Caenorhabditis elegans: one gene and its partner. The protein of the gene in region 1 interacts with the protein of each later gene in a pairwise test. Each region holds a gene or a part of one and is shown in the gene's direction. Other genes may lie near its edges. The genes, in order: K02E2.7 and R01H2.1.

Region 1 (4,879 bases):
AAAAATAAAGCACAAAATTCGAAATTTTAAGCAAGTTCTGAAAATTGCGTTCAAATGTTTCACAGAGCAGTTTTTTCATCAAAAGCTTAAATAGTTGCAAAATGTATGAAATTGTTTGAACTCAGAATTTAATTTCAAAAAAAGTTTTGTTCGCATTATGAGAGAAAGCTGTCAATTCTGACCCTTCTAATGTAGGTTTAATCTTTTTATAAATGTTCCTGAGCACTTTGGAACAAAAAACAAATTGCAAAATGTAGACGCAATTGTGGATATTGTTTTAATATTAAATGTTGTTTCATGAAAAAATTCCTGTCAAAATACAAACGCGCCGAATTTCAGCACCTAGAACATTTTTCTGAACATAGTTATACAAATTTGGCAACTTTGAAAGTGTAGATAAAGTAACCGTAAACATTTTGTTAAATAAAAATAATTTGCTAACTGTTATAGTTTTTGAGCTACACATGTTCGAAGAGCTGAAGCAAATCACCGAAAACTTGGAAATGAATAGAATATTGGCCGGCACTGTATGTAATAAATTCGCATTCCTACCGTATTTTTGTTTCTTTCGTGACGTAGGAGGCTCTTAACATTCAAATCCCGGTCATGAAACTGCAATACAATTGTCTCTCAATTTACACAAAGTCGAATAAAAATATTTGGCAAATCTTACTGCCAAGACAAATTTTTAAACTTACAGTAACATACAATTTGTCATCCACAACAACATAAGTGTAACATTTCTGTTGATCCCTGGCTTGTTTCAAGACATAATCAACAGACTCCCGATACTTCCAGTAGAACCTATCCCAATCCTGCAAAATTAATCAACTTTTAAAGCCAACTACTAGAAACATTTGTTTTAAATAGATATCTGACTCGAAGCCAAGCAAAAAGACGGAAAGTGGGTTTCATCATATTAAAACTTATCAAAATGAAACCCACTTTGTTTGAAATAGCCCATTCAACGTCTTCGTAGAATTTACCAACGTATCCAGTATAATTTCGGTGAGGATTAAGTAGATACTTCAAACATTCCATAAAGTTATGAGCGCAATATGTGACCGTGTAGTTCTACAAAATGTTTAAACTCTTGTGATTCCACAGAATTTGCACAGAAGTAACAATAAATGAATCTTCTGGTGAACAAGACTTAAACTAACTGAAAACTTGAAGTTACCTTTGGTAAATCGACAGTTTTTAAATTCTCTGATAGTTTTTTGAATTGGGCACTGTAGAAGTTATAGAATTTTCTATATTTACTCTGAAAAATTAGAAATTGAGTTATCACTTAATTTTTTCCTACTTTTTGGGAGCATTCATTGAAGAGTTGTATCATTTCCGGTGTAATATAAAAACAAGCGAAATCCATTCTGGGAATTTCACGAATTTAACTTGTAAGCACTGCGGAAAGTTATCAAGAAACAAAATGTCAACTGAACTGATGTGCTGAAAGAAAAAAACCAAAGGTTAACTTATTGCTAGGCCTATGTTGAAAATCGATCACTGATAACAGTTTGTTTGTGGAAACATTTTGGAGTGAGGAATCGTTCAATATAGTTTGTAATCAACCTATAGGTTGCAGAAATTGTATGAGGAGTGTTTTTATTTGAAAAAAAGTTTGCCGTACATTCACTAAAGTAAAAAAAAACATGAATTTTGATTTGAGTTGTGCTTTTTTTTCAATTGAGAGACTTTTAAGTCTGTCGATTAAAAAACTAATAAGAAATTCGTAACTTAAAATGAGTGAAGATCGCATAATAATAATTTTCCAATAATTCCAATACAAGAAGTCAGCTATGATCTTACAAAGGCCAGAAGCAGGATGTGAAAATTTTTCAGTTTTAGCAATCGTACAAACAAATTGAATACTCTTTACTTTCTGAGCGGTTAAAAACTGATAACAGAATAATGTACTAGGAATAGATATTTCAGTTTAACATCACTATTAATTCCTTAGATGTGAAAACTCCTCGTTTGGTTTTTCTGCATAAACATCAAACTCTTATCAGTAACTTCCAACATAGACATACATAGCAATACTTTTCGAGTCACAGTTTTGTAATTGACATATTTTTTCTTGCTCATTAAATTCTATTAATTCGATTTCATAATGGAAATTCCATCTTTTCATATTACACCAGATATGAGAAACTTATTCAGTGAATGTGTTAAAGAAGTAAGGTAGTTTCCAAATTGATGACTTAATTCTTAACTTTTTCAGGGAAGTTATAAACTTTTCTACGACTTATACAAGAGTGAGTTCGAAGATCTAGCCGTACATTTGAAAACTGTCAGACTACCGGAGGTAACTCAGCTTTTACGGCGCAGTTGATAAAAAGTAACGTTCAAGGACACCGTACTCCACTACTGCGTAAGCAACTTCATGGAATGCGTGGAATATTTAATTCATACTGGCCGCGGATACAACTATTATGGTCACGTTTTTAGCTTTTACAGGGATGTTGACTGGGCAATTTTAAATGGAGTGAGTTTAAATTAATTTGATTTACATTTGAGCCACTTTCTTATAAAAATACACATTAAAGGTGGACTACACCCTGTGGGGAAATTGCTTTAAAACATGCCTTTGGGGTCACAATGACCGAATATCATGATGAAAAAATTTTAATAAAATTTCTAGGTTTTAAATGATTTTTTGAAAATTGAGAAAATCTCAGTTTTCCCCTAATTCCTATTTGAATTTCCGCCAATTGAATTCGTTCGATGGAGCGCGCTTGCATTATTTTCATAATTTTTTTATTTTATATTCATTATTTCACTGAATTTCTTTATTTTTTGGGGGTTTTTCATCGGAAAATGAAAGAAATAAACAAGAAAGAAGCAAAATGTTTATTTGAAAGTAATTGAAAATGCCTTAAACTCTGAAATTATGCGATCCGACGACGATGAGCCTGAAATTAATATTATTCAGAGTTTTAGGCATTTTTAGTTACTTTTTAATAAACATTTTGCATTTTTCTTGTTTATTTCTTTCACTTTCCGGTAAAAAATCCCCAAAAAATGAAGAAAATCAGTGAAATAATGAAAATAAATAAAAAAATAATGAAAATAATGCAAGCGCGCTCCATCGAACAAATTCAATTGGCGGAAATTCAAATAGGAATTAGGGGAAAACTGAGATTTTCTCAATTTTCAAAAAATCATATAAAATCTAGAAAAATTTTTTACATTTTTTATCATGATATTCGGCCATTGTGACCCCAAAGGCATTTTTTAAAGCAATTTCCCCACAGGGTGTATGTAGTCCACCATTAAATAATGTTTGACTTCAGGATTGGAGCAGATTTTACTGGAAATTTCGCGACTCCGTAGATTATGTTATAAAGAAAGCAAGAGAGCAACGGAAAATTCAAATTTATGTTGTTGAAGGAAGTGCACGTTATTCTTCTGTAAGTCATGCCTAGTTCCCAAAGATTGAACGTTTCTGACTTATTTCATTGCAGTTCCGTAGCCGTGATCGCAAAAATCCCAAAGAAAATTCTCCAGAAACTCGAGGTATGGTTTAATTTTTTTTAAGTCTAAAAAAAATTCAGCACAACCCTCTGATAATCTAAAACTAGACGTCTTAGTATCAGAAAACTCTGATTTAGTCCAAAAACCAGTCCTGGAAGATTTTGAGAAAAAATCGCAAGAGCGGGAAAATCGAAGACGAGAGCTTGAAGAGGAGCTGAGGAAACTGGATCTAGAGGAAAAAGAGCAACTGGCTATGATTTCAAACTTCAAAAGCCCGGAGCCGGAACTTCAACCAATTTCCCCGCCACCCTCAATACATGATGACCTTATAAATGACATGGATGGCGGAATGTTTGGTTAGCTCACACTTTTGAAAAAAACAACTTGTTTAAAAAAAAGTTTGTAGGTTCTGAAAAAACTGACGATTCAAGTTTGGAAGACTTGCAGCTTCATGTACAAGAAATGGACAAGAATACTATGTTAACAGGTTAGTTAAATTTTTTATTATGTATAAACATGTGTATGTACAGAAAATTTCGATCAAGATCAAGAAGAACTGAAACTTTTTGTGCAAGAACTAGAGCAAAACGCTGCTGAAACAATTAACAATTCCTCTCACCAACTCGAAAATGCTCTGAAAGCTGAAGAAAATATTGAAACTGAAATCTCTGAAGAAGAAGCTAGCGACGATGAAGAGGAAGACAATTTCCACACAATGCTCCAAGAACAAGCTGCACGTCACAAGGAAGAAATGGAAAAAGTCATGAAAAAACGGGCGGAGCAGAAGAAAAAGCTTGAGGAGCTAAACAGAAAAGTTAATGCAATAGTTTTTTACAAATAACTTAAGTTAGGTATTGTGTTCTTAAATCCTCACAATAAATCTCTCACTTACTATATATTTCGAAAACTTGCTTATTCATTGCGAATTTCAATTTTTCATAAGAAAATCTGGTTCATAGAACTTTTAACCTTTTAACCGATGTCATTCTAAACACTTTTGGTATTTCATTGACAGGTTCTGAAATTTGTTAAATAATTTTAAAACTTTTTGAAAAATTTCGAAAATTTTTTTTGGAATTCTCTGAAACTTTTTAGAATTTTTAGAATTTACTTTTTAAAATCTGTATTTTTCTGAAATTATTTAAACACTTTCTGAAATGGCTCTTTTTGTAGAGTTTTCAGACCTTTTCTGGAATTTTCTGAGCAAACTTCTAATATTTCATTGAGTGTCTATTAAAATTATTTAAACAATCGATTCATTGACAAAAAATAAAAAAATATGAACAGATATTCTGTATGAGGTGTCTAAATAAATTTTAAAAATCAAATTAAAACTTGAGTAGATATCGTGTATGAGGTTTCACAACCCTTCCATCTTTAAAACCCGTTGCAGATAACTGGT
Region 2 (2,726 bases), on another chromosome or scaffold:
AAGAAAATGATATCAAGCTGGACAACTAAATTTGTTATTCAATACTTTATTCATATGGTAAAATTGGAATCAATAATTAAAAAAGCAATTATTTTTAATTTGAACAGTCGCGGTTGGATTCAACAACAAACCCAATTCTTCTGCCTTTTCTCAGTTTCCTTAAGTTTCATCTCTTCGATTTCCTGCTCTGTCTTCTCGCCAGTTACTCTGAAATTCAAAGAAAAGTTGTAGCTGATTTGTTTGGGGACTCACTTTCCCATATACACTGGAATTTCATGCTGGCGATCCCAAAGAACAACGCATATTGGGTACTGCACCAATTCGACTTGATTTGCTGGAAAAAGTTAACGATTACTGCATATATTCTCACTGATCCTACCATTCTTTTCATTCATCGGAATTTTCACAGGTTTGTTAGTTCTCTTTTGCTTCTTGTTTCGGGACTGACGAGACTTTTTGCCGAGCAATGTTTTTTCCTCTCTGAAAGTTTTAAAAAGTTCCTAAGCTTTATTTAAACTCAAAAACTTACGGTGTTCTCAAATAAGTCTTTTTCGGAGAATTTCTGAATGATAGAAGCCCAAAGTGTTGGAGATGACTGACTTTTTTGGGATCACCAGTTGCCGATGGAACAGCATCTTCTACAGCTAAATCACCGAAACCTCCAGCAACAAACAATGAATTTAGATTCATCGTAGCCTGAAACAAACATATTTTTAGAGGTTTCTATACATACTTCTTTATGTATATTCAAAAAACAAACCACCAAATGCTGTGAAATCCTACTCGATGGGAAATCTTTAGTCTTCCAATGTGGCAGATAGATTGACATTTTCGGCGAGGTATTATTCTGAAACCAGAACTTTCAGTATAATATAATCCTCTAAACTTACATCATTCGCTTTTCGAACAATACATGGACAACTCGAATCATAATAGTTTGAAACGAATTTTCGCATGACTTCTAGAGAGCATAATCCCGACTTATAACCATAAAAAACGAGCATCAAAAGTTGTCGATTTTGAGCAGGAACCATTACAGTGTTGAATTCTGAAAATTTTGTTTAGAATCAGATCGAATGTCCGGTAACAATTACCAAATTTTCCTCGATGAATCTTAATGGGCTCTGCAACAGATCCATGAACTCTCACATATTCCAAGTGATTCCACGTGTAAACATGTTCACCATCAAAGTACTCATCAGGCATCTCAACAACTGCATGATTTATCCACACAAGTATCGGTGCCTTTTTCTCATCTTCATTTGGATCTTTATAATTAATTCCATGTTTTGGAACTGGTGATGATAATACAGGAATCAGTGATGCAGATGCTTTATTATTTCCAGTTTGACATGCTTCATCCTTTTTTTGTTTTCTGCAATTTCCCGACGATTGTGCTTTGGAACTGAGCTCATCCACTATTTTTTGTTGTTTCATCCGATCTAAATGCGACAGATCACGTGACCACATAGACAGGACCTTTTGTGACTTGGCGAATTCCGTCTGAAAATTTTGGTAACTTTTTTCGAGTGTTATACTTTATTGTAAAAATCTTGAAAACTTGCAACTTCACTTTAAAAGCACACGTCAATTCTCTCGTTTGGTCTCGCCACGCAGTACTAACTAGCTCCAAAACTCATATTTTTATTTTATTTTATGAAACTGGATTTTTCTAAATTTAATATTATTGAATTCTCAAAAATATAAATTAGTATCTTTGCAAACAAACGGCACTAGAAGTGAGAAGAGCGTAAAAACTAAAACTTTGATATGCCTACAGTAGCCGGGGTTCTACACCAAAAGAGCAGTATTGACAAAAGACAGGCGTAGGTGGCCTTAAAGGCAAGAACGCGTTTTTGTGCCAACATGTAAACAAATTGATAATATGATGGCTTCTGGCAAGGCAACAAGCCTATATAGCCACGCTGAAATCTTCCTCCCATCCAAACAAGAATCTGGAATCAAGAAGAAAAGCGGAGAGGAAACCCAACAGACCAAGGGAGCCACCATTGAATCTAGCCGAATCAACCAAAACCGTGCTGAGAGGACACAGAGGTTCCAAACTCAATGCTCAAAAAGAAAACCATACGAGATTCGTCAGGGAATTCCTGAGAGGAGCTCCTCCAAACAGGATCCTGGGAACAAGACCGCCAGCATTGAACATCGAGGAAGAGAAAATCCTTCCGAAACCCACGAGAGTTGAATTGGCAAGAATGCGATGTGGCCACTCACTGATGATCCCCAAATACAAGGAGAGAATTGAAGGTACCCCGGTTGGTACAAGTGGTTGTGGGGATAAAGAAGGAGGGATAGTACACTTTCTATGCGGAAGAAGAAAACCAATCAAGATGAAGAAACTGTGGACTTCCCCCAAAGAGGCCGCCCAAGCAATTGGACTGGCCGTCTAGACTCTACGATCCGGGTGGTGGAGACGCGTGACAAATGTCTATTGAGACGGCGTAGGCCGCCATGTTGCACGACAACAACAACAACATGATGGCTTTGGATGCGCTATACTACAACTACAGTATCCCAAAACAGCAGACGATTGTTTTCATGTACCTGAAATATTTTAACCTCAACAACTCAACCCAGAGTAAAACCACTTTATATGAATTTTCCCATAAAGTACCTCTAAATTCCTCGTGGCCCATCTTCTGACTTCTCCGAATCCTTCAAACACCTTTTCCTCGACACGAAACAAACGGAAAAACTAGAAAAGTCAA

What was found.
Region 2: the proteins of K02E2.7 (region 1) and R01H2.1 interact in a two-hybrid assay, tested with the Caenorhabditis elegans proteins (one large-scale study listed by BioGRID).

Annotation. Positions count from the first base shown.
Region 1 is NC_003283.11:20,384,208-20,389,086, reverse strand, and holds K02E2.7 (Cilia- and flagella-associated protein 251-like), read left to right. Parts: upstream 1-2,044; 5' UTR 2,045-2,113; coding exon 2,114-2,179; intron 2,180-2,224; coding exon 2,225-2,308; intron 2,309-2,353; coding exon 2,354-2,488; intron 2,489-3,296; coding exon 3,297-3,413; intron 3,414-3,467; coding exon 3,468-3,519; intron 3,520-3,614; coding exon 3,615-3,833; intron 3,834-3,883; coding exon 3,884-3,964; intron 3,965-4,007; coding exon 4,008-4,318; 3' UTR 4,319-4,357; downstream 4,358-4,879. Other genes in the region: F53H2.1 (SH2 domain-containing protein), read right to left, coding at 553-612, 699-815, 946-1,074, 1,181-1,264, 1,307-1,372; K02E2.11 (Phosphatidate cytidylyltransferase), read right to left, coding at 4,855-4,879.
Region 2 is NC_003281.10:7,060,992-7,063,717, forward strand, and holds R01H2.1 (Ovule protein), read left to right. Parts: upstream 1-1,888; coding exon 1,889-2,203; downstream 2,204-2,726. Other genes in the region: R01H2.4 (SERPIN domain-containing protein), read right to left, coding at 120-207, 253-334, 380-480, 530-696, 761-847, 891-1,048, 1,095-1,503, 2,633-2,713.